Oryctolagus cuniculus: one gene and its partners. The protein of the gene in region 3 purifies or fractionates together with the protein of the main gene of each other region. This does not show direct contact. Links are inferred from orthologs where the notes say so. Each region holds a gene or a part of one and is shown on either strand. Other genes may lie near its edges. The genes, in order: CEP170, SGTA, BAG2, HSF2, HSF1, IRF2BP2 and TBL1XR1.

Region 1 (3,500 bases), on a different chromosome or scaffold from region 3:
TAACAAAATTGTAGTTTGACCAAGCTGTCTTGTTTTGTGTAAGTCAACACTATGCTGCCTCCAATATTCCTAGTTAATCCACAGGTAATTTTTTTTTTTTTTTTTTTTTTGTTAACAATCAAGAGAAAGTCATTCCTGAACTGTAACATCTTCCTCTTCCCCTTCAGGGTTGAATCTGTTGAAATGTATACTGAAATCAGCCTCAGATTCGGCATTTTCAAATTCAGCTGAGGCTGAAATAGCAGCAGGATGAAGAACCCTTGCTTCTGGCTGGCAAAGTGTTGGTGTCTGACCAGGGCTGCCGTGGTTATTCACAGGACTAGATTTCTGTTTTGGTGGAGATGGCAAGATAGCACTGGGAAATCCCATGTTGTTCAGAGCCTCCAAAGTTCCATCTGGGTCAATCATAGCATTGATTGCTGAAGGAAAGGAAAAGGAGCAGAGGTATAATTAAAATGTAAAAGGAATAGGACATAACTGTAAATGCAGCTAAATTTGAATATGAACATTAGTTAGTTTGGACAGTTTAACTATCAGTGTGTTTGTGTGATTTTAAATGAGGCAAATCCTTCCAACAACATTGTACTTAAACCTCACTCTTAATATCGATCTATATTGTAGATTAAACAATCCCGAATACTTTCTCTGATGAGTCACTTATGGACATTCTAGAGAGTAAGACTGGTATTTGGAGATGTGGAATTCAGTAGATATCTTTTTGAAATTTGTTTTCATTATTGTGAGAAGATAATAAAATGTTAGTTAATTTTTAATAAACACCCCTAGCCCTATTTATCAGAGAATTGTGGGTTTACAGCTAAGGTTCAGAATATCCTCAAGGCTGGTGAGGTCAGAAGAACATAACATACTTTTATTTTTAGCATAGCATGTTGTCATAGATCCTGTTGGAGTGCTAGGATATCAACTGTATCGTGTACCACTGACCTATAATGGTCCATGCATAACCAATATCCCAGGGCAGCCCCAGCAGGCCAAAGAGACCTTGCTATGTCCACGGAAGGAGCCAGTTAAAGACCAGTTTTTAATACAAAAGTTCTTTATGTGGACAAGGAAAGTTCTCTGTGATTTTCACCTTGATACTGGACAGAACAGGAAGTTGGGAGAAGGAGGCACTATAGTTCCAAGAATCATTTAGGGGTTCCTTTTAAAAGTATACCCCCATTCTATCAGCTCATAGACTGTGTTAGCAAGCCACTTTTACTTATGGCATAACCCTTGGGTGTGTAGGGTTGAATAAAGGTTAGGAATCACTGAGGTGGGATCTACATATTATGCCTACAATTATTCAACAAATAAATACTGGGAGGAATTAACAGTTGACTCAGTCCTGCTTGTTTGCCACTGGGGATGTTCTGGGTCAAGAGACACACAGACATTAATGCATGATTTGGATTTTCAAAGAATTAAAACAAAGTCTGTCAAAATTTAGGAGGCAAACAGAGTCTGTTTCACTTTCTTCTCCCCTTCTTTTGGTCTTTAAAGCTATCATGCACTTCTTTTTTATGGTCCATTGAAGCAACTATTATTTGTATTAGAATATAAGTTTATTTGAGGTTATACTACCAATATAAATTAAGAATTATCAAATCAAATAAATAATGCTAATTAGCAAGTCATTTAAGCTGTATATATATATATATACACATCATTATTTTATATATTTATATAATATATATAATAATGTAATTAGTTTGTAACACTTAGCCTATTGTCAAATCTACACTCTAAAATATGCCCAAGATTTAACTTTAATTTTTTATATTAGGTTTGTACAATTTCCTTTTCAAGAGTAATCTGAGAGGCTGGAGTTGTGGCACAACAAGTTAAGCCACTGCCTGTGATGCCAGCATCCCATATGAGAGCCAGATTTGAGTCCCAGCTGCTCAACTTCTGATCCAGCTCCCTAATGCACCTTGGAAAGTAGCAGAAGATGCCCCAAGTACTCAGGCCCCTGCATCCCACGTGAGACCCAGATGAACTTCCTGGCTCTTGGCTTCAGCCTGGCCCAGTCCTAGCCATTGCACCCATGTGGGAGACCCGGAGGAAGCTCCTGGCTCCTGGCTTTGGATTGGCGCAGCTTCAGCCGTTGCAGCCATTTGGGGAGTGACCCAGCAGAGGGAAGACCTCTCTCTCAATCTCTCCACCCCTCTGTGACTGTCTTTCAAATATATAAGTAAATCTTTAAAAAATAAGTGATCTGGATATGTAGAACTCCATACTTATTACATGACATTATATTTAATCAAATAAAATGAATATTTTAAGAGAACGCCATTAGAATGCACTTATCCTAAAATGACAGCTCTCTACTCAATTCAGTAGTAAATTTACCTTGTAGCTGCTTTTCAACTCTTTTCAGCTCCTGTAAAATAGAAGAAATCTCCTGCAGGGAAAGCAATAACAAAAATTAGCTTACTTTAATTAAAACATTTTGATTTGACAAGTAATGAATCTCACTCTCATTTTATTTGGAGCATTTAACATTTTCTATTTGATTTACTACTTTAGTAGCAGCATGGTATGAAATGATGACATCCAGTAAATAAGACAAATTTTAAAAATCTTTAATAATGAAATGAGTAACTTTTTTCAATGAGGTAATGATAGCAGATGAAGAGTTCAAGATAATTTACTGCAGGCTGAGTATCTCTGGTCCAAATACTGGAAATATGAAATGACTGGAAATTCTGGTAAAGTCTATGCAGTATCCCAAAATCCAAAAATGCTGAAATATGAAATGCTGCTGGTATCAAGCATTTCAGATAAGGGATATCTAACCTGTACTATATAAAGAAAGATTCTGAAATATTTGTATTGATCAACATTGCAGTAACTCTGACACAGTACTTAAAGGTTTTCTTTGTAAAAATATATGAACTGCAATCTTAATACTAGGACTACATTCTGAGCATTGAAAATCTGTACAAATTCTTTAAAAAGAAGGCAAGCACTATAGTAAGTAAATGGAAACAATTCATGTAAACTTGATATTTAAGTTCAGTTCTTATTTCAAAACTGAATATTTTTAAGGTACAGTTATTACAAGAACAAGAATATGTAATAGTGAGAAATATAAAAATCCCCTCTCCATGCCCCTAGCAACTTGGAAACAGTCAACATTTGGGACTCTTGTGAGATCAGCTGAAGGAAATCTGTGTATCTACATATTCTTTTACAAGTAAATCAATAAATAGCTTAAAAATAAGTATGCTATCTTTCCATTAATATAAAACTCTATTAAAATGGTTTAATCTTCAAGAAAATTATCATACCATGCTTGAGGTTTTCACAATAGGAACTTCACTTTCAGCTCTTAACTTGCTTTCTATTTCATCCCAATTCCGATCTTTGTCTTTAAATAATATTCTAGAATTTGCAAAAAATAAACACTTTATTTTCATATTTTAAAATTTACTGTATTTCTGTTAATGATAACACCAAATACAATGTATCTTTTCAAAGCTATACAAGGAAAAATA
Region 2 (4,166 bases), on a different chromosome or scaffold from region 3:
CCCCCGGCCAGGCCGTCCAGAGGGGCCCGGGATTCAACACCGCTGACCCCCGCCCAGGCCGTCCAGCGGGACCCGGGATTCAACTCGCCAACCCCCGCCCCGGCCAGGCCGTCCAGGGGGGCCCGGGATTGCACACCGCCGACCCCCGGCCAGGCCGTCCAGGGGGGCCCGGGATTGCACACCGCCGACCCCCGGCCAGGCCGTCCAGCGGGGCCCGGGATTAACACTGCTGACCCCCGCCCAGGCCGTCCAGCGGGGCCCGGGATTCAACACCGCCGACCCCCGGCCAGGCCGTCCAGAGGGCCCCGGGATTGCACACCGCCGACCCCCGGCCAGGCCGTCCAGCGGGGCCCGGGATTCAACACCGCCGACCCCCGGCCAGGCCGTCCAGGGGGGCCCGGGATTGCACACCGCCGACCCCCGGCCAGGCCGTCCAGGGGGGCCCGGGATTGAACACCGCCGACCCCCGCCCCGGCCAGGCCGTCCAGCGGGGCCCGGGATTGCACACCGCTGACCCCCGCCCCGGCCGACCAGCGGGGCCCGGGATTGCACACCGCTGACCCCCGGCCAGGCCGTCCAGCGGGGCCCGGGATTGCACACCGCTGACCCCCGCCCAGGCCGTCCAGCGGGGCCCGGGATTCAACACCGCTGACCCCCGGCCAGGCCGTCCAGCGGGGCCCGGGATTCAACACCGCTGACCCCCGGCCAGGCCGTCAAGCGGGGCCCGGGATTGCACACCGCCGACCCCCGGCCAGGCCAGGCCATCCAGCGGGGCCCGGGATTCAACACCGCTGACCCCCGGCCAGGCCGTCCAGCGGGGCCCGGGATTGCACACCGCCGACCCCCGGCCAGGCCGTCCAGCGGGGCCCGGGATTGCACACCGCTGACCCCCGGCCAGGCCGTCCAGCGGGGCCCGGGATTGCACACCGCTGACCCCCGGCCAGGCCGTCCAGCGGGGCCCGGGATTGCACACCGCTGACCCCCGGCCAGGCCGTCCAGCGGGGCCCGGGATTCAACACCGCTGACCCCCGGCCAGGCCGTCCAGCGGGGCCCGGGATTGAACGAACGAGTGAGTGGGTGGGCGAACGAGTGCAGGAGGACGCTGCGCGCCCCGCAGCGACTTCCAGGCGCGGGGTCCCTGAGGCCTCCGCGCGCGCCTGGCGCCCCGAGCCGGCAGCACCACGTGGTCAGCGCGGGGCGCCCGCCGGAGTCCTCCACCGTCCCAGCATGCTCCTCGCCACGCCCGCTCTAGCGAGCCAGTCAGGCGCGACTTCCGGCCCCCCTGAGGTCGCAGAGGTCAGTTGCCCTAACGACCAGCTGGTTCCCGCCTCTCAACTGCATCACTTCCGCCCGCGCCCGCCTCGATCACGGACGCGCCTGCGCAGAAGGAAGGCAACCCGAGGCCCTGCTCCTTCTGCGCGTGCGTCGTCCCCGGGGGGCGGGGCCGGCGGCGCCGCGGTGCGCAGGCGCAGCCGTCGGAGGGTCCGGGCTCGGTCGCTGGAGAGGTGAGTGGGGGGCCCCGCCGTCCTCCCGGTGGGCCTGGGGAGGGGTCCACGGCTCGGGTCTCACGGGGCCCCGGAGCCCGTAAGAGGAGGTGAGTCTGGGGTCGGGGTCTCCTCCACTCCCGCGGTCCTGCGAGCGGGCGGCGTCGGGCATGGCTTGGAGGGTCCTCGCCTGTCTCCGGGGATCCCGGCCCCAGCAACGTGGGCCCGCGGGCCGGCGGAGGCAGAGCGCCCCGCGCGGAGTGAGCGCCCGCGGCCGGGGAGCCGGCCCTCCAGTGGCCCGGGGACCCCGATTGCTGGACGTCCGGTCGGGGCTGGCGTCCCTCTGTGTGCGGCTGACCTTGGCCAGCCTCTTGGTGTTCAGGGCCGTGAAACCCGGCGTGGTCGCAGCCCCTGCCCGGGAGGCGGGCGAGAGCCGCGGGGCGCGGCGGGCAGCGGGCACCGTGGACGCCAGGCCGGGGGCGGGGGCGCGGCGGGCACCGGGAAGGCATGGCCGGGGGCGGGGCGGGCACCGTGGACACCGGGGCAGGGGCGGGGGCGCGGTGGACACCGGGCCGGGGGCGGGGCGGGCAGCAGGCACCGTGGACACCGGGGCAGGGGCGGGGCGGGCACCGTAGTCACCGGGGAGGCATGGCCGGGGGCGGGGCGGGCAGCAGACACCGTGGACACCGGGCCGGGGGCGGGGGCGCGGCGGGCAGCGGGGAGGCCGGGCCGGGGGCGCGGCGGGCAGGAGGCACCATGGACACCGGGGACACCGGGCCGGGGGCGCGGCGGGCAGGAGGCACCATGGACACCGGGGACACCGGGCCGGGGGCGCGGCGGGCAGCGGGCACCGTGGACACCGGGCCGGGGGCGGGGCGGGCAGCAGACACCGTGGACACCAGGCCGGGGGCGGGCGGGCAGCGGGCACCGTGGACACCAGGCCGGGGGCGGGCGGGCAGCGGGCACCGTGGACACCAGGCCGGGGGCGCGGCGGGCAGCGGGCACCGTGGACACCAGGCCGGGGGCGCGGCGGGCAGCGGGCACCGTGGACACCGGGGCGGGGGTGGGGCGGGCACCGGGGAGGCCGGGCCGGGGGCGCGGCGGGCAGCGGGCACCGTGGACACCAGGCCGGGGGCGCGGCGGGCACCGGGGAGGCCGGGCCGGGGGCGCGGCGGGCAGGAGGCACCGTGGACACCGGGCCGGGGGCGGGCGGGCAAGCCCACCGCCTCCCTCCGGCGCTGCGCTGCCCGGGCAGACCCTTCCCCCTCCGAGCTCTCTGAGCCCGGGGTCGCTTGGACGCTGCCGCCCGCGCCGTCGGAGGGGGAGCGCGCCTCGGCGGGTGCCCGGAGCGCGTGGGCGACGTCTCGTCCTGGTCCGATGTTGGGGTGGGGGGTTGTCCTGCGTCCCCCTGGGAGCTGGGGTGTCAGCCTGTCCCGGGGTCGTTTTGGGGGGGGCCATGCGTGGTGCCGGGGCAGGGGGTGCACCCCGTGTGCCGTCTTGCGGTGCCCAGGGCATAGCCTGGGGGTGGCCCCGAGCCTCCCTGGTGCTCAGGGTGTGTGCGGGTTTATGCGGAGGGGGAAGACGGGCCCATGGGAGTGGCGGCTCCGAGCCCGCCTGCCTGGGTTCGGGGCTCCGGGCCGTGTCCGTCTTTCTGTGTAATGGGGAGCCTGGTCGCCACCAGCCCGGAGGCTGAGCAGGCCCGGGAGCCACAGTTTTTGTGAACAGAATCCGCCCCCCCATGGCCACGCTCCTCCCTCGGGCACCCTCCGGCCGAGGCTGGAACCGCAGTGTCGTGACCTCTGGCCCAAGGATATGAGGGTTCCTGGGAGGGCGAGTGACCCCCGCGGGGACTGCTCTGCCCAGCCCGGGCCCCTGGGGAGCTGCAGCCGCACTCGTGCCCGGCCCGGCCCGAGTGGGGGAGGCAGGCAGGCGTGGGGGACCCAGGAGACCTCCCGGGAGCTCCCAGGTTTGGACGGAGCAGGTGCAGGGGTTCCGGCCCGTGGGACGGCGGGGGCGTCGCCAGAGCTCGGGGGGCTGCGGCTGGAGCGTGCGGACGCCCGGGTTTCTCTCCTGGGGACGCTGCGGGACTGGGTGGCGCCCGGAGCCCCCGGGAGGACCCCGCGTCTGCCCGCACTCCGCGCGGAGGCACCGCTGCCTCCCGGGAACACAGCGGGGCTCCCGCGGGGCGTGGCTACGCCTCCAGGGTGGCGGAGGGGCGGGGCCACGAGTCCACGGGGGTCCCCGCGCTCAGCACTGCAGGGGAGGGGGGCAGCGAGCGGCGGCTGCCGTGTCCGGGTTCTGGCGGCAGGATGGGGGGTAGAGTCAGCGGAAGGGGGCTCGGAGCAGCCCACGCGGGACCCGTCTCTGGGACCCGGCGGCCCACCCTGGCCTCTGCCTCCGCGCCCCAGCCCAGGCCTCGCGGTGGCCTTTGGAGGAGGCGTGGCCGCCACTGCGTGCCGTCCCCCCCACCCCGCTGCCCCCGGCCAGAGCCCACAGGCTGCCATTGTTCCGCGGGCACCGGGGGCGGCGCTGGCCGCCTGCTCGGCCAGCCTGGCGGGTGTGCACTGAGTCCCGGGTCCCGCCCTCCCCCGGATAGGGGTCCTCGGGCGGCGGGCGCGCCTCGCTGACCCTCGCTGACGGGCGGCCTCTCTTCTCTGGCCAGTGGCGCTCAGCTGGGGCTGG
Region 3 (3,971 bases):
TGGAGCTGAGGGAAGAATCTTGGACATACTGTGAAGGTAGCATTCATGTGATTACTGATGGACTGGATCTAGGACATGAGAGAAAGTCCAAGGTGAATCTAAAGTCTCTTGAGAGACATCAAGCCATTCACAAAATGTGTTGGGATATCGAGTTTAATGTTTGGCAAAAATATGTTTAATGAGATCGGTCAAATAACACCCTATACCAAAAGCTTACTAGTATTTAGAATGAGTACAGATGGAATTGGGATCCAGGCTTAAGAGTTCCCTCTCTGCTAAAGTATTTAAGTGGTGATGGTCACTGATGAAAGGTTGTGATTCAGCTTCAAAGCTGTTATTACCATTTCCATGCCTTCAGTTTTCATACTTGCAATACGAACATTCTTGTAACGTGAGCTATCCTGAGAGCGGAGCAAAGCACAATATTTTAAATACAGCGGCCCTGCTCCATCTTTTACTGATATTTACTGGATTTTTGTTGTTGTCGTTAACAGATTTAATACGTTGGGTGTGAAGTGACCATTACCAACTATTTAAAATACCAGAAAAAATTTTTGTAGGCATAAAAGTGAAATTCCCTTTCTTGGAATGTGTGGGAATTAAATTCACTTTGCTTCGCATCTGGAGCTAGACAGGCAAAGACGGGATAGCTGCTTCATTCTTTCTCAGTAGCGTCAGTGTGGTCCAGGCTGTTATTCTCAGAAAAGTGACTTGGTCAAGTACAGACTGCCGAGGAGGCGGTGTCCTTCTATGTCTTCTGCTTTGCAAAGGGACCTTTTCTCCCTGTCGGCAGAAACCTGAATGTTTTTTCGTTCTTGCTTTGAATTCTGGGTGCTGAAAGGAAGTAAACGAAACCATCGGTGAGCCATGCACCCACAGCCTGCCCACCGTGTGGTATGGTAACTCCGCATAGGGGGAGTTGGCTACTTTTATGCTGCACCAAGAGTCGGGGCTTGGGTGTTCGCTGGGTCTCCGCGCCGATTTCGGGTTGTTCCAGGAGCAGAGAGCAGCCGACTACGTTAGGTGCTCCCCTTTTTGGGTCCTCCCATCCCAGAGTCTCGGAGGCCTTAGCTCCTGAGGCCCACCCTCGAGCTTTTGCGGCCAGCTAGCCCCCTCCAGGCCCCGCCACCCCCAGCCCGCGCGCGCCGCGCCTGCCCTTCTTTGGCCACGCAGCCGCGGCGGAGTCGGCGCGTCCTCGCGAGCCGCCCCCGCGGGCGTCAGAGAGAGGCGGGCGCCCCGCGCGGTGACGGCGACGCCTGCGGCCCGGGAGCGCTCCACTCGCCACCGCGGGAGAGGCCGGTGACCTCTCGGCCGCCCCGCCTCAGAGGCTCAGATGGCTCAGGCGAAGATTAACGCCAAAGCCAACGAGGGGCGCTTCTGCCGCTCCTCCTCCATGGCCGACCGCTCCAGCCGCCTGCTGGAGAGTCTGGACCAGCTCGAGCTCAGGTGAGCGGCCGGCGGGCCGGCGAGGGGCACGCGGCGGGCTCGGGCGTCCTGCTCGCCGCGTGGGCGGCCGGCGGGCGGAGGCCCCGCCTGGGGCAAGCGGCGGCGAGAGAAGTTGCTTGTTGGGGTGGTGTGGATGGAGGCGGTGCGGTTTTGTGTCCTGGCAGGTTTTCCTCTCCTCGCTGAGAGAAAACGCGTTCCGTCCCAGCTAACCTGTGAGCACGTTATTGATGGACACGTGAACACACCTGTGTGTTTTAGCGAATACCCAGAGAAGATAAAAGTTAGGGTGATGGTAATGGAGATTATTTCCAGAACCTTCTCTGGGGTCCCAAAGATCTTTAAGCCCCCCCCCCCCAAGGTTGCGAGTTAAGGGAAAAAGATTAAAGTGTTCTCCCCACCCCACCCCACCCCCCGTGAAGTTTTCTTGTTCCAAAGCACTTCAGAGCAGAAAGGGGGGGGACCCCAGGAATGCATCTAAGAGCAAAAATTGTAGAGCAGTAGGCCAAGGGAGGGGCTGTAGGAGGAACAGTAACTGGGTCCTGTACCTCGTGGATTAAAGACATTATGGCTGCCTTTGCTCTCCTAAGCCCACATACTGTGTTCCAGTATTTATTTTCTTAATATTTATTACCTTACATAAAAGATGCTGCTGAGACCTTAAAAGTGCTAGTCACTGGCCCGAAAGCATGAAAAGATAGTCAACAGTTTTTCCTTTTTCCCTTGATGACAGTTTTAAGTAAGTAAGATAGTGATAGGCTTGTATAGAATGTCTAAGTAGTAATAAGTTTTGGAAATGGCTTTTTCCTTTAACAGTGTATAAAAACGTATATGTACTATCTATGAACATTTGTGTCTGAAGTTAGTGTCTGCGTTGTGGTTGTGTGCAGGTATAGTTAGGTGAAAATCTTGAGACACGCATAGCCCCCTGACACTGTACATAGGATTTGGTTCAGTAGTTTCTGCCAAGCTCTGAAGGCGCAAAGGAGTGTGGAAGCCCCAAAGTGTAAACAGTGCTGTATTGTGTGTCCTTCTCTCCCTCCATTAATATAGCAAAACATGAAGAAGTGTCTGTTTGCCCAGAAAAGATACCAGTAACCACAGTGTCTGCTAGTAAAAAAAGATTCGCTATTACTACTGGGAGGAAATCGCCAGAAAGTGTGAAATTCTCCACTCACAATTCCAGGGATGGCAACAGAGCCACCTGGGCCCTAAGCCAGGTACTGGGGTTCACTTAGGGTGCGACAAGTTGAAGAGAGAAGCAATGCTTCCTTATGGATTGCCACAGAATCAGCAAACCTGGGTTCAACACCCAGAGAAAGTGGAGTGAAACTACAGTGGCCTCAGCTACTCCAAGCCCCTCTAAGGAATGGGATTTCTTTTGTGTAGCAGCTTAGTAAGTACCTTAGACTTCTCTCCAGGCGTTCTCTACTAGCCTCTCTCCCCCAGTCAGAGAGAACAGGTTTTCTCTTATAGGAATGAGGAGCATGTTCCCCCTCCTTCCTTCCTTCCTTCCTTCCAATGACAAGCTGAGTCATTGTCCTCACATGTGGTAGGCACAAAAGCAGTCAAGTGCTCCTCTTCTAAAACAAGGCCTCTGATTTGGGGTATTACTGTATTTCTGATATTTGGTGAATGTCAAATGAATTCTGATTACTGCACATAAGTGATTAAATTACAAGTTGCTTAATTACCACTTGGGCTGAAGGAGGAAAGTCTGATTAATATGTGTGTTAATTGTTCATTTCAAGGGCTTCTCGAATAATTCTAGAGTTTTGTTTCTTCCTTTTAAAAAGAGTAATACTGAAAACTAAACAAGTGTTTCAGAAGGTTCGCAAAAATAGAGAAAAATGCTACTGCTGATCCTAACTGAAGTTTGGATGATACCATGCAGGCAATGTGCAGAGCATTGTACCAGTGAAAACTAGAATCGTGCCTAGAGGGAGGTCGAGTTTTCAAACATGAAATTCATATATAATTTATTCTCATCGTTTGAGGTCATATTAAGTAACACTAATAAAGTAGTTATGTTAGTAGAGTGAGGCATTTTAGCTTGTACTTAGAAGTATGCATGTACTGTTCTCTAATGCTAGTTTGATGTTTGGGAAGGAAACTTCTTCCCTCTGAAACCAAAAACAGGATTATACCCAGTGCTTGATGACCTGGAATATTTGGCCTTCCTGATGCTTAAAATGCTGTAAAATGTTTGGCAGTCTTCTTCAGTTTGTTTCTGATACTTGATTGTTACACAAGCCTTGCTTTTTTGACTGCATTTTGTCTCCAGATTGCGTCCCCAAAGAGGCAGTTCCTTTCTCTCCTGGTTTTCATGATTTCTGAATGGAATATAATTTTACATTTGTCAATAGCTCAAGCTACTCTGCTAATTATCTTTTTAGACATTTATCATTTATAAATAATACAGCTTACATGTCAGGCTCCATATCTGTGTGGAAATTACTGTAATCTGCACTCTACAGATGAGAAACTGAGGCTTAGAAACTAAAGACTCATCCAAGGTCATACCACCA
Region 4 (4,065 bases), about 65 Mb from region 3:
GAAGATTGAATGATATAAGTTTACATACATTAGTTGCTGTATCACATATATCCCTCTATCTTCAGCAAAAAGCCTAATGCTGAACATAATGGCTCTATTCAATAAATATTTTCACATTAGAATTTCTGTATATTCTATTTATTAAAGTATTATTTTACATAGATCCAGGAAATAAACCAATCCTAGGCTGAATTTTGCATAAAACTGTCATTTCCAGCTTGTGTACATATTTTTATTTTAGTATTTTTATTTACTATGCATGCAAATGTCCATGGTCTGCACTAAGATCTACTCACTCGTTGTCTAATATTTCCCCACTATAGCAATCTATCTAAGCAAATAAGACTACATTTGTAAAGTACATCCAAGAAAAATTTTTTTTGCAGAAACGCTTTTAGTCCAGAAGTTAAGATGCCGGTGTTCCACATTAGAGTTCCTGGATTCTAAACCCAGCTACGGCCCCTGATTCCAGTTTCCTGCTAATGCAGATACTGGGAGACAGCAATGAGAGCTCAAGTAATTGAGTGCTTGCCACCAACAGAAGACCTACCGAGTTCGAGCTACGGCTTTTCTGTCCTGGCCAATGCAGGCATTTGGGAGTGAACCAGAGGACTGAAGCCCTCTCTTTCTGCCTCTCATTATTAAAGAATCTCAAAACGAACAGTTATTTAATTAAAATAGTATAAATAGGAATAATTCTTTTTATGCTGGGCATATAGTAGGCACTTGCTGGGCGAATTAGCAACGTGATTACAGTTCCTGGCTTTAAAATAATACATATTCATTAATGAGTTATCTAAACTGTTCTTTTTGATGAAACAGGCTATTTTCGTTAAGTTTCATTTCAGGGCCTACCATATCACGCCTGAGGGCTGCTCTCTCCTTCCCCGCCCCACGAATTATTTCTTCCGCTACACTGGCGTAAACCACACCTTGTCTTCCAAACCTATGACTCAAAAGCCTCCAAAGACTTCTGTAGCCTCCAGCCACAACCTACCAAACCGAAGCTACCTCCACGTGAAACAACCAAACACTGCCTTCCGAGCCCTAACTCCGATACAGCGAAGGCTCCCGTATAAAAGGCGAATAAGAAGGCAGCGCCCCCTTTTGCTCCCACCCCTCCAAGACTCGGCACCCAATCACCTTTCAGTGTGGTGCGGCTGGCGTCTGGGATTGGCCAGGAACTGGACCAGCGCGCGCCCGGTGCGGCAGGCGGAGCACAGGGAGCCCTGTCCGTCACGTGCGGCCGCCCGGCTTCCCGGCTTCGCAGCGCGCCTGGCGGGGCTTGGGGGGGCGGGGCCCGACAGCTGCTGCGCCTGCGTTGTGGGCGTTCTCCGGGAGCAGCTGCCGTCGCCGCCGCCACCGTCGCCACCGTCGCCGCCGCCTTTGCTACCGCTGCGTTCGGGTGTAGAATTTGGAATCCCTGCACCTCGTTAACAATGAAGCAGAGTTCGAACGTGCCGGCTTTTCTCAGCAAGCTGTGGACGCTTGTGGAGGAAACCCACACTAACGAGTTCATCACCTGGAGCCAGGTAGGGTCGGGGCACGGCGGCCTCCGAACCCCTGAACTAACCGTCTCTCCCCTGTCGCTCTCTGCCGCGGGATTGTCTCTCGCGGCCTGCGGCTGGGTGCTCTCGGCCGGGCGCGCGGGTGGCGGTGTGACGCGGGGCCTTGGCGTTCGGCCTCGCCGGGGACCCCCTGTATTGTTCGCGCGGGGAGCCGCGGGGGCCGGGCCGGCGCCGCGCGTCTCAGGCCGCGGTGGGGGAGGGGCGGCGCGCGGGGCGGCGCGGCGCAGGCGGCCCCGTAACGGTCCGGCCCGGTCAGCGTTCGGAACCAGCCTGGCAGAGCCAGGCAGTCGACGAGCGGCGGGCGCGGAAGCCACGTTATTGCACACTCATCCTCCGCGCGGGGAACGAATCGGGAGGGGAGCGGGAGCCCCGGGCCGGTGTCGTCCACGCGGGGGTTTGTTGGAGGAAATCTTTACCCTGGTGACCCGATTCTACACACGGGCGCGCGCTGCACACACGCACTCAGCTTTGTATCTGGGATTTTTGATGAGGAGGGCAATCAGGGAAGTGGGCATGTGTTCAAACGCATGTTAGTTTATCCGTAGGTTTTTAAAAATATTACGTAGAAAATGACAGACTAGGCTTTGGAGATTGTGAGCCATTTATATAAATGGATTTTTATGATCATTGTGTTAAAAGTGCTAATAGACAGGTGTTCGGTAGCTTAGTAGCTAAAATGAATCACTGAATTTCACTAGTTACCAGCGAGTGGTATATAGATGCTCTGATTGCTGGTTTGATCCCAACTCTGCTTCTAAATAAAGGTGACCTTAGTTGAGCCCCTGATCTTGTCTTGCCTAAGTTTCATCGTCAAAACGTCCATAGGTTGCCTAGGTGACCTCAGGATTCCCTCCTACTTCCAATTACAAAGATTCTAAGAATGATTATATCTTATAATGCGTTTGCATTATGATACTTCTAGGCTGTTGGAATAATTTTTTTTTTTAAAGGGACTGGGTTCTTTTATTGTGGAGGAGTCCTTGGTGGTGGTGGTGGGGGTATTTTCATCTATGGAGTTCTTGAGAAGTGAAAACTACCTGCATAATGCTTGGCACCTGTTAAGTGCTGAGTAAATGTTATCTACCCTCCTCCCTTTGATTTCTCTCCTTTTCCTGTTACAAGGAACTTTCAGTTTTATGTCTTAACAGGGAGCACAATATTGAGTACATGAAGTTTTGATGGCTTTTAACACTGTATATTGTCATTTGTTCATTCTTTTTTAACTTTAAAGTCTTAATTTTCATGTGATCAGTGTTATCAAGTGGGTTATCTTTTTACTCAGACATAACCTCACCCCCCAGCTATGTGTGTATTGAGTTGATGAGTTCTGTACAGTTGATCAAAGAAAGGTGAAAATAAGGGAGCCAGCCACTAGCTTGTCCTTAAAATAAACAGATGTCTCATGCTTTTCATCACTCAGAAGGATTAAAACTTGACAAGGATGGATCGGCACAGACTTACTCAGCCACGTATTCATGTTAGAGATTGACTAAGAGTCTCTCCTCACTCCACTGACTTTATCAAACCTTTTTAGCCTGGATGGATCATCTTGTTTTTATTGACTAGAAATGGTCCTTAGATATATTGATAATTGGTTTTGATGTCAATGATAGATCCCATGAATTCTAGTAGCCAAAATATTTGATCAATAATCCTACTTTCTGGGCAGTATCAAGTACAGGGCATTTTATACCAATCTGCATTATTTTATGAATTGTAAGCCAAACAAGTTATTCCTTTCTCACCCCATTGTTAAGTCTAATCATATGTTTTAAACTACCCATTTTCTAATATGCCAACAGGACAATCAAAATGTAAAACTCAGGTCAGTATGCCAGAGATACAGATGTTTAATAAATGTTTAATGAATCAGTGAAATCCCTGGAAAATACAGTGGGGGTAGTAGGAATGATAAAAGTAAGATTGTTTTTGAAAAAAATGTTAGAGATCATCTAGTTTTAGTCTCATCCTTGTATAGATAAGGATTTGAGAGTTGGACAGGATAGGTTACTAGTCCTTAATTACTAGCCAAGATTGTATAAGGGACTCTGACATAGATTTCTCAGCTTCTAAGTCAGTCTCACACCTTAAGCATTAAACTTAACACAGCTTGGCACCATGTTTAGTTTTATACCAAGATGTTGCCCTCCACAAGTTGGAATAGTTCTGGGGCCAGGCCTAGGTGGTTATAGCAACTGTCTTGCTTTTGCTCTTCCACAGATTTTTCTGGAAGCAGTGCAAGGTAAAACTTTAATTAAACAAGGATGTTAGGTGGAAAAAGAATAAGTTACTCTCAGGTTTTAAAAGTTGCTATTTATGGTTGTTTCTGGTTTTCTTCAAACTTGTTGTGAACTTCTGTTGAGGTAATTTAGTATTATCTGAGTGAAAATCGTATTAAGACCTTTTAGAAGAAGCAGATGTTTTGGGAACCAGTTTTTTATGCATTTTTTTAACTGGTAGAAAATAATTTATTCCTCTAGCTTGAGTATAAAGCAAG
Region 5 (3,500 bases), on a different chromosome or scaffold from region 3:
CCGGCACCGCGGCTCACTAGGCTAATCCTCCGCCTTGCAGCGCCGGCACACCAGGTTCTAGTCCCGGTCGGGGTTCCGGATTCTGTCCCGGTTGCCCCTCTTCCAGGCCAGCTCTCTGCTGTGGCCCGGGAGTGCAGTGGAGGATGGCCCAAGTGCTTGGGTCCTGCACCCCATGGGAGACCAGGATAAGTACCTGGCTCCTGCCTTCGGATCAGCACAGTGCGCCAGCTGCAGCGGCCATTGGGGGATGAACCAACAGCAAAGAAAGACCTTTCTCTCTGTCTCTTTCTCTCTCACTGTCCACTCTGCCTGTCAAAAAAATAAATAAATAAAAATAGATAAATAGAAACAACCATTCTTTTAAAAGAAGGAAGGAAGAAACAAGACTTGGGGAAGGATGAGTTCAAGGACCCATGCCATCTCCCCCGTTCCTGCTGGCTCAGAACTGCTGCGGCCCCTCTGCGTAGACTGCGATCCTGGCACCGCCTCGCCTCAGCCCTGCAGCCTCGTGCCCTCCCCACACCCGATGTCTGGGTTTTTTCCAGAATGCACTTTAAAAAAAAAAAAGTTTCCTTATTTTCATCTACTTGGAAGGTACAGCAGTAGAGAGAGAGAGCTTCTCTCCACCAGTTTACTGCCCAAATGCCCCCAACAGCCGGGGCTGAGCCAGACGAAGCCAGGAGCCCAGAGCTCCATCCGGGTCTCCCCCGTGAGTGGCAGCGCGCCCAGGTGCGTTAGGAAGCTGCGTGGAACTGGAGCTGGTGCCCGGAGGCGGGCTTCACCTCTCAGGTCCTGGGCCCAAGCCCACGTCAGCCTCCCGTCCCCGCCGTCTCCTGAGGCTCTGTCCAGCTCTGGGCCGGGTGGACAGCCCGGCTGGAGGAGGCAGCGGGCCCAGAGCCTCTCTCCTCGTGTCAGGCTCACGGCTGTGAGGGTTCTGTGAAGTAGTGCGATGGGTCACCGGATTCCAGGCATCGCTCTGAGTTAGAGCACAGAGCCCCAGGGACAGAGGGAAGGGGTGCAGTCACCCGCCGAGCAGAGGAGGGAGCTTCAGGCTGCCGCTGCTCCGTGACGTCCTCGGGCCCGAGTCTTGGGCAGGAGCCCTTCATCTGCAGGTCTGCAGGATGCCGTGGGGGGCCCCAGTGCACCCCCGCTGTGGCCGGAGACTGCGTCTGCACGCATGTGGATTCGCACCCTAGGTGAAGTGGGCCAGGTCCTCGCAAGCCAGCTGCCCAGCGCCCACGACGCTTAAACGGGTTAGGTCCCTGGTATGAGCCTCACGTCAAGGAAATCCTCAGCCCCAGCAGGCTCTGCTGGCAGATCCGCTCCCCAGGTGGCCCGGGCCAGAGCCAGGAGCCTGTCCCCCACTCTGCCAGGCAAGTCAGCAGGGCGCTGGGCCCTGCATGGAGCGGCCGGGACTTGGCCCCGCGCTTCTGTGGGTGCAGTGTCCCAGGTGGCAGCTTAGCCCGCTGCACCAAGCGCCAGCTCCTGCGTGGGGGACTTTCTGTTCTGCTTTTCTTTTTTTTAAGATTTATTTTTTATTTACTTGAGAGCCACAGAGAGAGAGAGAGAGGTCTTCCATCTGCTGGTTCACTCCTCAGATGGCCGCCACAGCCAGAGCTGCAAGCCAAGAGCTTCTTCCAGGTCTCCCGCATGGGTGCCGGGGCTCAAGGACTTGGGCCATCCTCTACTGCTTTCCCAGCTGGACCGGAGGTGGAGCAGCTGGGACCTGAGCCGACGCCCATACGGGATGCCGGCACTGCAGGCGGCGGCTCTACCCACCCCTTCTCGCTTGCTTGCTTGCTGGAAACTGGCTGTTGCTGGGCCTGATGGGGCGGCTCTGGAGATGAGACAGTGAGACATCCTCCCTGGAGTTGTGGTCGCTGATTCTGTGCAGCCCCGCGCTGCGTCCTGTGGCCCAGGCAGGGTCTGAGGAAGGGGCTTCGCCTCTCACAGCTCTGATCATCTGACCTCCTCGGCTCCCTTGTAGGAGAGGGCGTGGTCTCGGTGCTGGGGCCCGCCAGCCTCGGGCTTTCCTGGGAGCCTCTCCACACCTCCTTCCCTGCCTGCCTCCTCGGAGCCCGCAAGGTTTCCAGTGCACGCCCTGGGTACCTGCCCTGGCGTCCAGGCCCCCGTAGGTGTCTGGAGCCTCTCCTTGTCTCCTGCCTGCCTCCTCTGCTTGGTGCTCTGTCTCCCCCAGCAAGCTTTGTTGACAGCTGCCTCTGGGGGCAGGCGTGCGGCCTAGAGGCTCAGACACCTCCATCCCATGGCAGAGGCTCTGGCGCCTGACCCCAGCTTCCTGCTAGCGTGAACGGTGGGAGGCCACTGCCCACCTGGGAGACCTGGCTTGAGCTCCTGTCACCTGGTCTCCGCCAGCTCGCGGCAAGCATTTGGGGGTGAATCAGCAGATGGGACAGCTGTCTCTGCCTCTGTCGTCTGGATGCTGCCGTAGACCTGCCCTGGGGGAGCCCCTGTGCAATGGGACAGGCAGCAGAGACGCGCCCCAGCCCCACCTGCCATGCCCAGCTGCAGGGGTGGAGGGAGGCTCGCTGCTGTCGCTGGGGAAGAAGTGTCCCCTCCGCAAGTTGGATTCTGGGGGCGTCGGCCGCGGGGCTCTCCCTGCTGCTTCGGGTCCCTTCCTCCGTCTCTTGCACGCCCCTTGCCGTGTCGTTTTCCTTCTCTCTGGAGTTCAAAAGCAGCTCCAGTTCCTGTCCAGAACCACAGGCCCTTGGTTCTTCCCGGTCCCTGCCTGCTCCTGCTCCCCACTGTGTGGACTCTGCCCCGTCGGAGCCCCCACAGCTGCTCCCAGCACAGACGCTGTGCCAGACCTTCCTCCTGGTGCCTGGGCTGCGCTCAGGAGGACAGAGGGGCAGCGCACCCCGCCACCGTCTGTGCCAGGGGCTGGGGCTGCGTTCCCTCCCCTCCGACGGGAATCGGGCTTGCTCAGTGCCGGCCCCCAGCACGTGGGCCTGAAGGTGTGGCTCTTCTCATCCCAGGTGGGGCCTGGGTGAGGGCCCCGTTTCTGGCCACACGGCCCGGTGCCTCACATCATGGGGCATGTACAGTGCATATGTGTCTGCCGGTCCCCGGGAGACGGTTCCTCCTCCTGCCGTACCCCTCCCCCCGAGCCCCTCCATAGCCCCACCCCATGGGGTGGGAGGGCGCATCACAGAGCTGGCGGGGAAGGGCTGCAGCCATGCTGCCTGGCCCATGCTGCCACGTGTGACCACCCCGTGTCTCCTGCCAGAGCGGCAACAGCTTCCACGTGTTCGACCAGGGCCAGTTTGCCAAGGAGGTGCTGCCCAAGTACTTCAAGCACAGCAACATGGCCAGCTTCGTGCGGCAGCTCAACATGTGTGAGTGCCTGCCGGGCCCCGGCCAAAGGACGGACTCTGGGTTGACCAGTGCAGGATGTGAAGGCCAGCAGCCCGGGCTGGGGGGGAGGTCCCTTCCTGGGGGAAGGGTCCTTGTGGGAGGGGCCGGAGCCAGGAGCTGGGAGACCA
Region 6 (2,281 bases), on a different chromosome or scaffold from region 3:
ACACACTTACACAACAGACCATGACAGTTGAATTCTTTACAAATGTCTTTACGGGTATGTAAAACTGACTCTGTGTTTTTGCATGTGTGTATTCACATAAAAGAGACCAGTCTGATCTGAATCATATATACTCCAATTTTAAAAACAGAAGGTGTAACAACAAACTGGCTACTCATGCAAGTCTGTCTGTTAATATAACAATGACCGGTAACATGAATTTGCACGGCATCAATAGGTGCACTCATTAAAAACACTACGAGAAAATACTGTATTTGGTGCAGTATCTGATTTGCAAGTGTTAGTAACTTGACCATTAAAAAATATTTTAGCAAATTAAAAAAAAAAGATAAACATGTAACTAAAAAAGAACTCAAGGTTTGTAATAATAACCTGTTTTCAACTTGAAACAGAAGTTAGTCTCTGAATGATACACATAAACTGTAGTAGACCTAGAAACCATGATCCAGCCTAATTAGAAGGCCAAGTTACAAACACCTGAACCTAAGGATTTAAGTGTTCCTGTCAATGTTAAATCATAACAGCACAAAAGAAAAACCAGTATCACTGTGAGACAACTATTTCTAGTAACTGATGATTTATTGGTTTAAAAAATCATTTTACTGATGCAAAATAGTGATCAAAAGAAATTAGTTTACAAAAGGCTTCTAAAAATAGTTTGAGAGGTGGGGCCTGTCTATTATGTAAAAACCCTTAATTTCTTTCATTTTCACTAGTTTATCACTTTTTCCCCCAGAACAGTATTATTCAGTTGATATTTCAAATACATGTAAGAAGGAAATTACAGGCTTCCTCCACCCACATTCGGGCTGTCACTGATATGCCCACGGGCAGTCCTGGCAGCACCACGGCGGCTGTTACTGTCATTGTACCATACTGTATTTAGCACTCACTAGAAACAGGGTGTAGGTGATAGTATCAACAGCAATAGCACTACAGGTAAATGATAAAAAAACAAAACAAAACACAAAACAGAAACAAAACCAATCCCACAATCTCCAAGTTCACCTGGACTGTAACTTCTCTCAGGACTCCTTCAAAGGAAACAACAGCAACAACAAACAGAGCTCTAGGGTGTTTAGAGATGAAGTGGCGCTGCAGAGCCAGGCTCTGCTCAAAGATGGCAGTGCCATCTTGTGCACACCACCATCCATTCTAACCGCCTCCCATCACTGGAACTGTGTATTATGTAACCAACTAGCATGCAGCATTGTAATCTTACAACTGATCACGTGGACAGTGAACAGCGGTCAACTTTGCCTTAAAAAAAAAAAAAAAAAAAAAAAAAAAAAAAAAAAAACTACCCCTCACCCCCAAAAGCCACACAATCCTAAAAATCTCTCAGCAACACCTCTCAGACTGTCATCGATATCCCAAGAACTGAACTTTAAGAACAAAACAGAGAGATTAAAAATCCATTTGCCTATTCCTCTGAGAGGACGACGTTTTGGGGTAACCTGGTGATGTTTCCAGTGGCATGCCCACTTGCCAACAGTGCCCCTTTCATCACTCATCTCCTTTCCTTCTCCACCAACTGGCCTCCGGCCTGAGAAGGGGGCCAGCAATAAGGAATAACAGACAGTAAGGCAATCTTACAATGTCAGAAAATGTATTTGGCTTTTTTTTTTCTTTTTAAAATAAGTGCATACAAATACAGCTAGAAGCATTTCTGATTTGCCAAGTGCTCTAAAAAAGCAGCGCGCAAGTCACAGCCTACATAGAACGGTAACTGTCACCAGGATAATAAAGCACAAAGATATGCTAATAACGTTAACAAAAGAAGAAAATGCCTTTATAAGTACATACCTTTTGTCGTCAAAAAAATATAGAAACACAATGTATTCAAAAAAATCAAAATTATACAGCCATGTTTATGAAGTCTACATTTCCCTTGTCTTGGATATATATATATATGGAGATATATATACAATTCAAGCAGTTTTAGTTAAGGATAATCATTGGGTTTTTCTGAAACCGAAAAGTCACGAGTCTCTCTCTTTTTTCACTTTCACATCTCCAGCAAGGATGGTTGCAATTTCCCCCTGCATAAAGGCCCAGGGGACATTGGAGCCCACAAGAGGGCATTTTTCCCCACTGGGACAATAGACCTCTCCACTAGCTCCCTGCTGTTTGATGCTTTGTCTGGAGCAAGGGAAGCAGAACTTGTGCGAAGGGACGGACGGGCACTGCACAAAGTGGGTGTCCTCCAGCCGCTCGTGGCAGAGGGTACAGCACAGCGGGGCACTGGCTGCCAAAGAGGAGT
Region 7 (3,500 bases), on a different chromosome or scaffold from region 3:
AGGAAGAGTAAAACAGAAATATCGTATCACCTTGCTAACATAAGGTTGGCATTTGGATTATTCGTCCCTGGTCCAGTTGGACTCCATTTGATAGTATAAATCTCTTTATTATGTGCTTGCAAATCATGGACACAATTGTCTTGCTTCATACTCCATATCTAAACAAAAAAGAAAATGTATATAATTATGGTTCAGTATAATGAGTACATTCAAAATATACTATCTTGCCAGCCCAAAATATGAGTGATAGAACCAAAATTAAGGGAATATTTGTAATTTAAATACAGAATATATTTAATATTTTTGGAATAAATGATATTATCTTTGTCGCCTTCAAAAATATTCACTATTGTAAGGTTTGAAGACTGAATTATAGTTTTTTTCCATGATTACTTCTGGTAGATTAAAAAGTTGCAAAGTTCAACATCAAAATGTTAAAGGGACTGCTTTGATGCTGTCCCTTAAATAACAGACATTATATATTGCTCTTAGAATTAACTAGCCGGAAATTACTTTCTGTAATGAAGTGAAAATAAGTAAACAGCTTACAAAATAATGTGATGACTCGAACAGAACAAGTGATGAAAACACATGCAATAGAGCTAAAGTAGTAGAGAATAAGCTTCTGCTGAGGTGAAAAATGCTATGTTCAGGTTAAAAAATCTGCATTAATTATGAGCAAAAATTAATAGAAACCTACATCCAGAGTATTTTTGGATGTATCAATATAGACTTGAAAGGTGGAATGGGGGAAACACATAAGATGTCTTGACAAACACAAGCACATCAACTCCAACAGCAGAAGGGAAACAAAAGTTAGCTGGACTTCATACTCCTACAATAAAACTAACAAAAAATAATGGGGTACTATCATAGTGTTTTTGCAGTTCAGGCATTTATAACCCCATGTAAATGAACTCAAAAGATGTTTTTCCAGAACAAATTTCGTTAGACTTCCTTCCAATGGCATTTGATACTGTTGGCCACTCCCATCCAGTGTCTCTGTGAAGTACTTTTCTCTACACATTCTCTCTCTTTTCCACTTTGGTCACTCCTCAGTCTCTGGAAGCTTAGGTAGGTGTTTTGTAATGAGAGAATCAGACCCATGAAGCCTCTCCATCTGCATTACTCCGACATTATTAAAATTCAATATGATCTTCTCACTCAATTAGGTATTCCCTGTTCTCAGAAAATGGCCCTCTTACAGCTTGCCCATCCACCTAGTTTTTGTTTTAAAATCCTATGTGACCTTTATTTATTCTTAAGATGCAGAAAAGCTCTCTTAAAATTTCAAGTTCCAATCTATCTCTGCAGCTGCAACTCAATCCATGACATAAGGCTCAACGAGCACCGGCTTCCATTTCCTTGTATATCATATGCTTTTCTACAAATTTTTCATTTTATAAGTACTAATATATGTACATACAAGGAAAACTCCAAAATAAAAGCATTAAGAAAAGCCTTTTTACTAGCAATGCTCCTAAGGGAGCCAGCACTTGAGAACTATCTGACTGAACAAACAGCAGGTACTTAGGGTAAAAAAAATCCAGAGAGTTCCCAAGGTTACATTCAGTCCATTCATGGTAGGAGGAAAAGCAGTTTTCCCTCAAGATTATTTTATCTGTAAAGGTTATCACATCTGCAGTCTGGTATCACAAAGTCAAAGATAAAACTGTTTTCAGTAGAGTTATCTGTTACAGAAGAGAACTGCAGGCTTCATTTATTTTGGAGATTAGTAGTTGGCTGGTTTTTTACTTCAAAATTCTTTTTCCCTAACTGTGGTACAATGTGCTTAGATGAAAGGTAGCAACAGTTTTGCTTTCAGTCAGACAAGAAAAAAATAATAAATGCAGGTTAAAACGTGGCTGCTGGCATGTAGGCTTGCTCAGTCACTCAGAGACTCCCAACTCATTTCTATCAGTTTCCCAGCCAGGGAGATACAAATTCACATCACAACAAAAGCAAATTGATACAATTCACAGAATTTCAGATAAATTCACAAATGCTTCAAAGATCTTAAATATTTGTCAGTCAGATCTTCACATGTGAAAATAAACTTTAATTGAACCAATACATAGTGTTACATTTCTTACTGCCTGTGAGGGTTAATTTTATAAGTCAACTTGAGAAAGTCATAGAGAACTCAGAGATTTAACTAAACATTATTTCTGTGTGGTTTTGTGAGGGTGTTTATGGATGAGACTGGGTTTTGATCACTAGACTAAGTAAGGCAGACTACCCTCTCTCCAGTGTAGCTGGGTATGATCAGATGCAGAGAGGTCCGGAACAAACCAGAACGGCAGCCTGACCACTGAGCTAGGATACTGGGCTTCCAGGGACTGGAACTTAACCACTGGTATTCCTGACCCCTAGGCCATGGATCCTGCCTGGAGTTTCACCAGCAGTTTTCTGAGTCTTTAGTTGGCAAACAGCAGAACATGCATGTGATTATCAGCGACCATAACCTTGTGAGCCAATTGTTCACAAATCTCTTACGATGGATTGATTGGTCTGTCCCCTCTATGGGTTCTATGTCTCTGGAGAATGCTGATTAATATGCCATCATAACTGTATGACTATTAATACAATGTATTTGCTATATTCAAGTAATTCTATATATCCCAGAAAAGAAAATTAAAGTACGCAAAACAATAATTAATCATTAGAGAGCAGGAAAAGTTCTCACCAAGGCTTAAACATACAATGTAAGAAATATTCTAAACAGTCAAAGCAGGCACACTGTGTGACACTCCCATCGCATCCCCATTAAACATTAATTACCTTCAAAGTCATGTCATCAGAGCAGGAGGCCAGGAGATTGCCAGTTGGGTCCCATTTGATAGCATTTACTTCATTCTAAAAATAAATATTCACATTTTCATTTGCTAGATTGGGTTACTGTGCAGATATTAAACAGAAACATGTCAAAATTATTCTGAAATATCACTTGTCATAATCCCTGTAACAGGGAGGGAAAAGGTTTCTTACCGTATGTCCCTGGAATGTTTTAATAGGTCTGTCTTGTCCTAATTTACAGACATGAATGCACATATCCGTACTACATGAAGCAAAGGTGTTGTTGCTCTGCCAATCAACATCCAATGCTGGTGCTGGAAAGGAACAAAGTTGAAGTTTGCATTTATTCCACATATACTGAAGTCCAGAAGCTTTAGCTTTGAACCATAGTTAAGACATTAAGCATGCTACGTGGTACCTAACATTTTGATACTTTTTAAGATACTAAGAAAAAATATTTATTTTTAAAATAAAACTATCAAACTATCATAAGCATTACTTTCCATTTAGTTATCTCTATATGAGATGCACCCTAACAGAAAACACACTGACCTACTTAATTGGGAGACTGGGGTTCCTGAGTGTTTGCTCTATAAATTACTAGCACCAAAACTTGGGTGCTGCTTTGCAAAATGGTAAGATTAAAAGTGATGGGGCTGGCATTATGGTGTAGTGGGTAGAGCCACCGACTGCAGTGCTGACAT

The links.
Region 1: the proteins of BAG2 (region 3) and CEP170 purify together in Homo sapiens (affinity purification with mass spectrometry; 3 studies listed by BioGRID and IntAct, with this or other methods). This does not show direct contact. The link is inferred for Oryctolagus cuniculus from reciprocal best matches to the Homo sapiens genes BAG2 and CEP170.
Region 2: the proteins of BAG2 (region 3) and SGTA purify together in Homo sapiens (affinity purification with mass spectrometry; 3 studies listed by BioGRID and IntAct, with this or other methods). This does not show direct contact. The link is inferred for Oryctolagus cuniculus from reciprocal best matches to the Homo sapiens genes BAG2 and SGTA.
Region 4: the proteins of BAG2 (region 3) and HSF2 purify together in Homo sapiens (affinity purification with mass spectrometry; 4 studies listed by BioGRID and IntAct, with this or other methods). This does not show direct contact. The link is inferred for Oryctolagus cuniculus from reciprocal best matches to the Homo sapiens genes BAG2 and HSF2.
Region 5: the proteins of BAG2 (region 3) and HSF1 purify together in Homo sapiens (affinity purification with mass spectrometry; 3 studies listed by BioGRID and IntAct, with this or other methods). This does not show direct contact. The link is inferred for Oryctolagus cuniculus from reciprocal best matches to the Homo sapiens genes BAG2 and HSF1.
Region 6: the proteins of BAG2 (region 3) and IRF2BP2 purify together in Homo sapiens (affinity purification with mass spectrometry; 3 studies listed by BioGRID and IntAct, with this or other methods). This does not show direct contact. The link is inferred for Oryctolagus cuniculus from reciprocal best matches to the Homo sapiens genes BAG2 and IRF2BP2.
Region 7: the proteins of BAG2 (region 3) and TBL1XR1 purify together in Homo sapiens (affinity purification with mass spectrometry; 3 studies listed by BioGRID and IntAct, with this or other methods). This does not show direct contact. The link is inferred for Oryctolagus cuniculus from reciprocal best matches to the Homo sapiens genes BAG2 and TBL1XR1.

The regions. Positions count from the first base shown.
Region 1 is NC_091444.1:63,134,528-63,138,027, forward strand, and holds part of CEP170 (centrosomal protein of 170 kDa), read right to left. Parts: intron 3,388-3,500; coding exon 3,294-3,387; intron 2,405-3,293; coding exon 2,353-2,404; intron 420-2,352; coding exon 130-419; 3' UTR 1-129.
Region 2 is NC_091447.1:59,207,068-59,211,233, reverse strand, and holds the start of SGTA (small glutamine-rich tetratricopeptide repeat-containing protein alpha), read left to right. Parts: upstream 1-1,366; 5' UTR 1,367-1,505; intron 1,506-1,572; exon of another isoform or gene 1,573-1,594; intron 1,595-4,166. UniProt on the Homo sapiens protein: Co-chaperone that binds misfolded and hydrophobic patches-containing client proteins in the cytosol. Mediates their targeting to the endoplasmic reticulum but also regulates their sorting to the proteasome when targeting fails.
Region 3 is NC_091436.1:112,404,903-112,408,873, reverse strand, and holds the start of BAG2 (BAG family molecular chaperone regulator 2), read left to right. Parts: upstream 1-1,171; 5' UTR 1,172-1,333; coding exon 1,334-1,446; intron 1,447-3,971. UniProt on the Homo sapiens protein: Co-chaperone for HSP70 and HSC70 chaperone proteins. Acts as a nucleotide-exchange factor (NEF) promoting the release of ADP from the HSP70 and HSC70 proteins thereby triggering client/substrate protein release.
Region 4 is NC_091436.1:47,729,752-47,733,816, reverse strand, and holds the start of HSF2 (heat shock factor protein 2), read left to right. Parts: upstream 1-1,265; 5' UTR 1,266-1,439; coding exon 1,440-1,532; intron 1,533-4,065. UniProt on the Homo sapiens protein: DNA-binding protein that specifically binds heat shock promoter elements (HSE) and activates transcription. In higher eukaryotes, HSF is unable to bind to the HSE unless the cells are heat shocked.
Region 5 is NC_091437.1:168,064,930-168,068,429, forward strand, and holds part of HSF1 (heat shock factor protein 1), read left to right. Parts: intron 1-3,244; coding exon 3,245-3,353; intron 3,354-3,500. UniProt on the Homo sapiens protein: Functions as a stress-inducible and DNA-binding transcription factor that plays a central role in the transcriptional activation of the heat shock response (HSR), leading to the expression of a large class of molecular chaperones, heat shock proteins (HSPs), that protect cells from cellular insult damage.
Region 6 is NC_091444.1:53,903,439-53,905,719, forward strand, and holds part of IRF2BP2 (interferon regulatory factor 2-binding protein 2), read right to left. Parts: coding exon 2,001-2,281; 3' UTR 1-2,000. UniProt on the Homo sapiens protein: Acts as a transcriptional corepressor in a IRF2-dependent manner; this repression is not mediated by histone deacetylase activities. Represses the NFAT1-dependent transactivation of NFAT-responsive promoters.
Region 7 is NC_091435.1:102,883,226-102,886,725, reverse strand, and holds part of TBL1XR1 (F-box-like/WD repeat-containing protein TBL1XR1), read right to left. Parts: intron 3,111-3,500; coding exon 2,989-3,110; intron 2,857-2,988; coding exon 2,782-2,856; intron 159-2,781; coding exon 31-158; intron 1-30. UniProt on the Homo sapiens protein: F-box-like protein involved in the recruitment of the ubiquitin/19S proteasome complex to nuclear receptor-regulated transcription units. Plays an essential role in transcription activation mediated by nuclear receptors.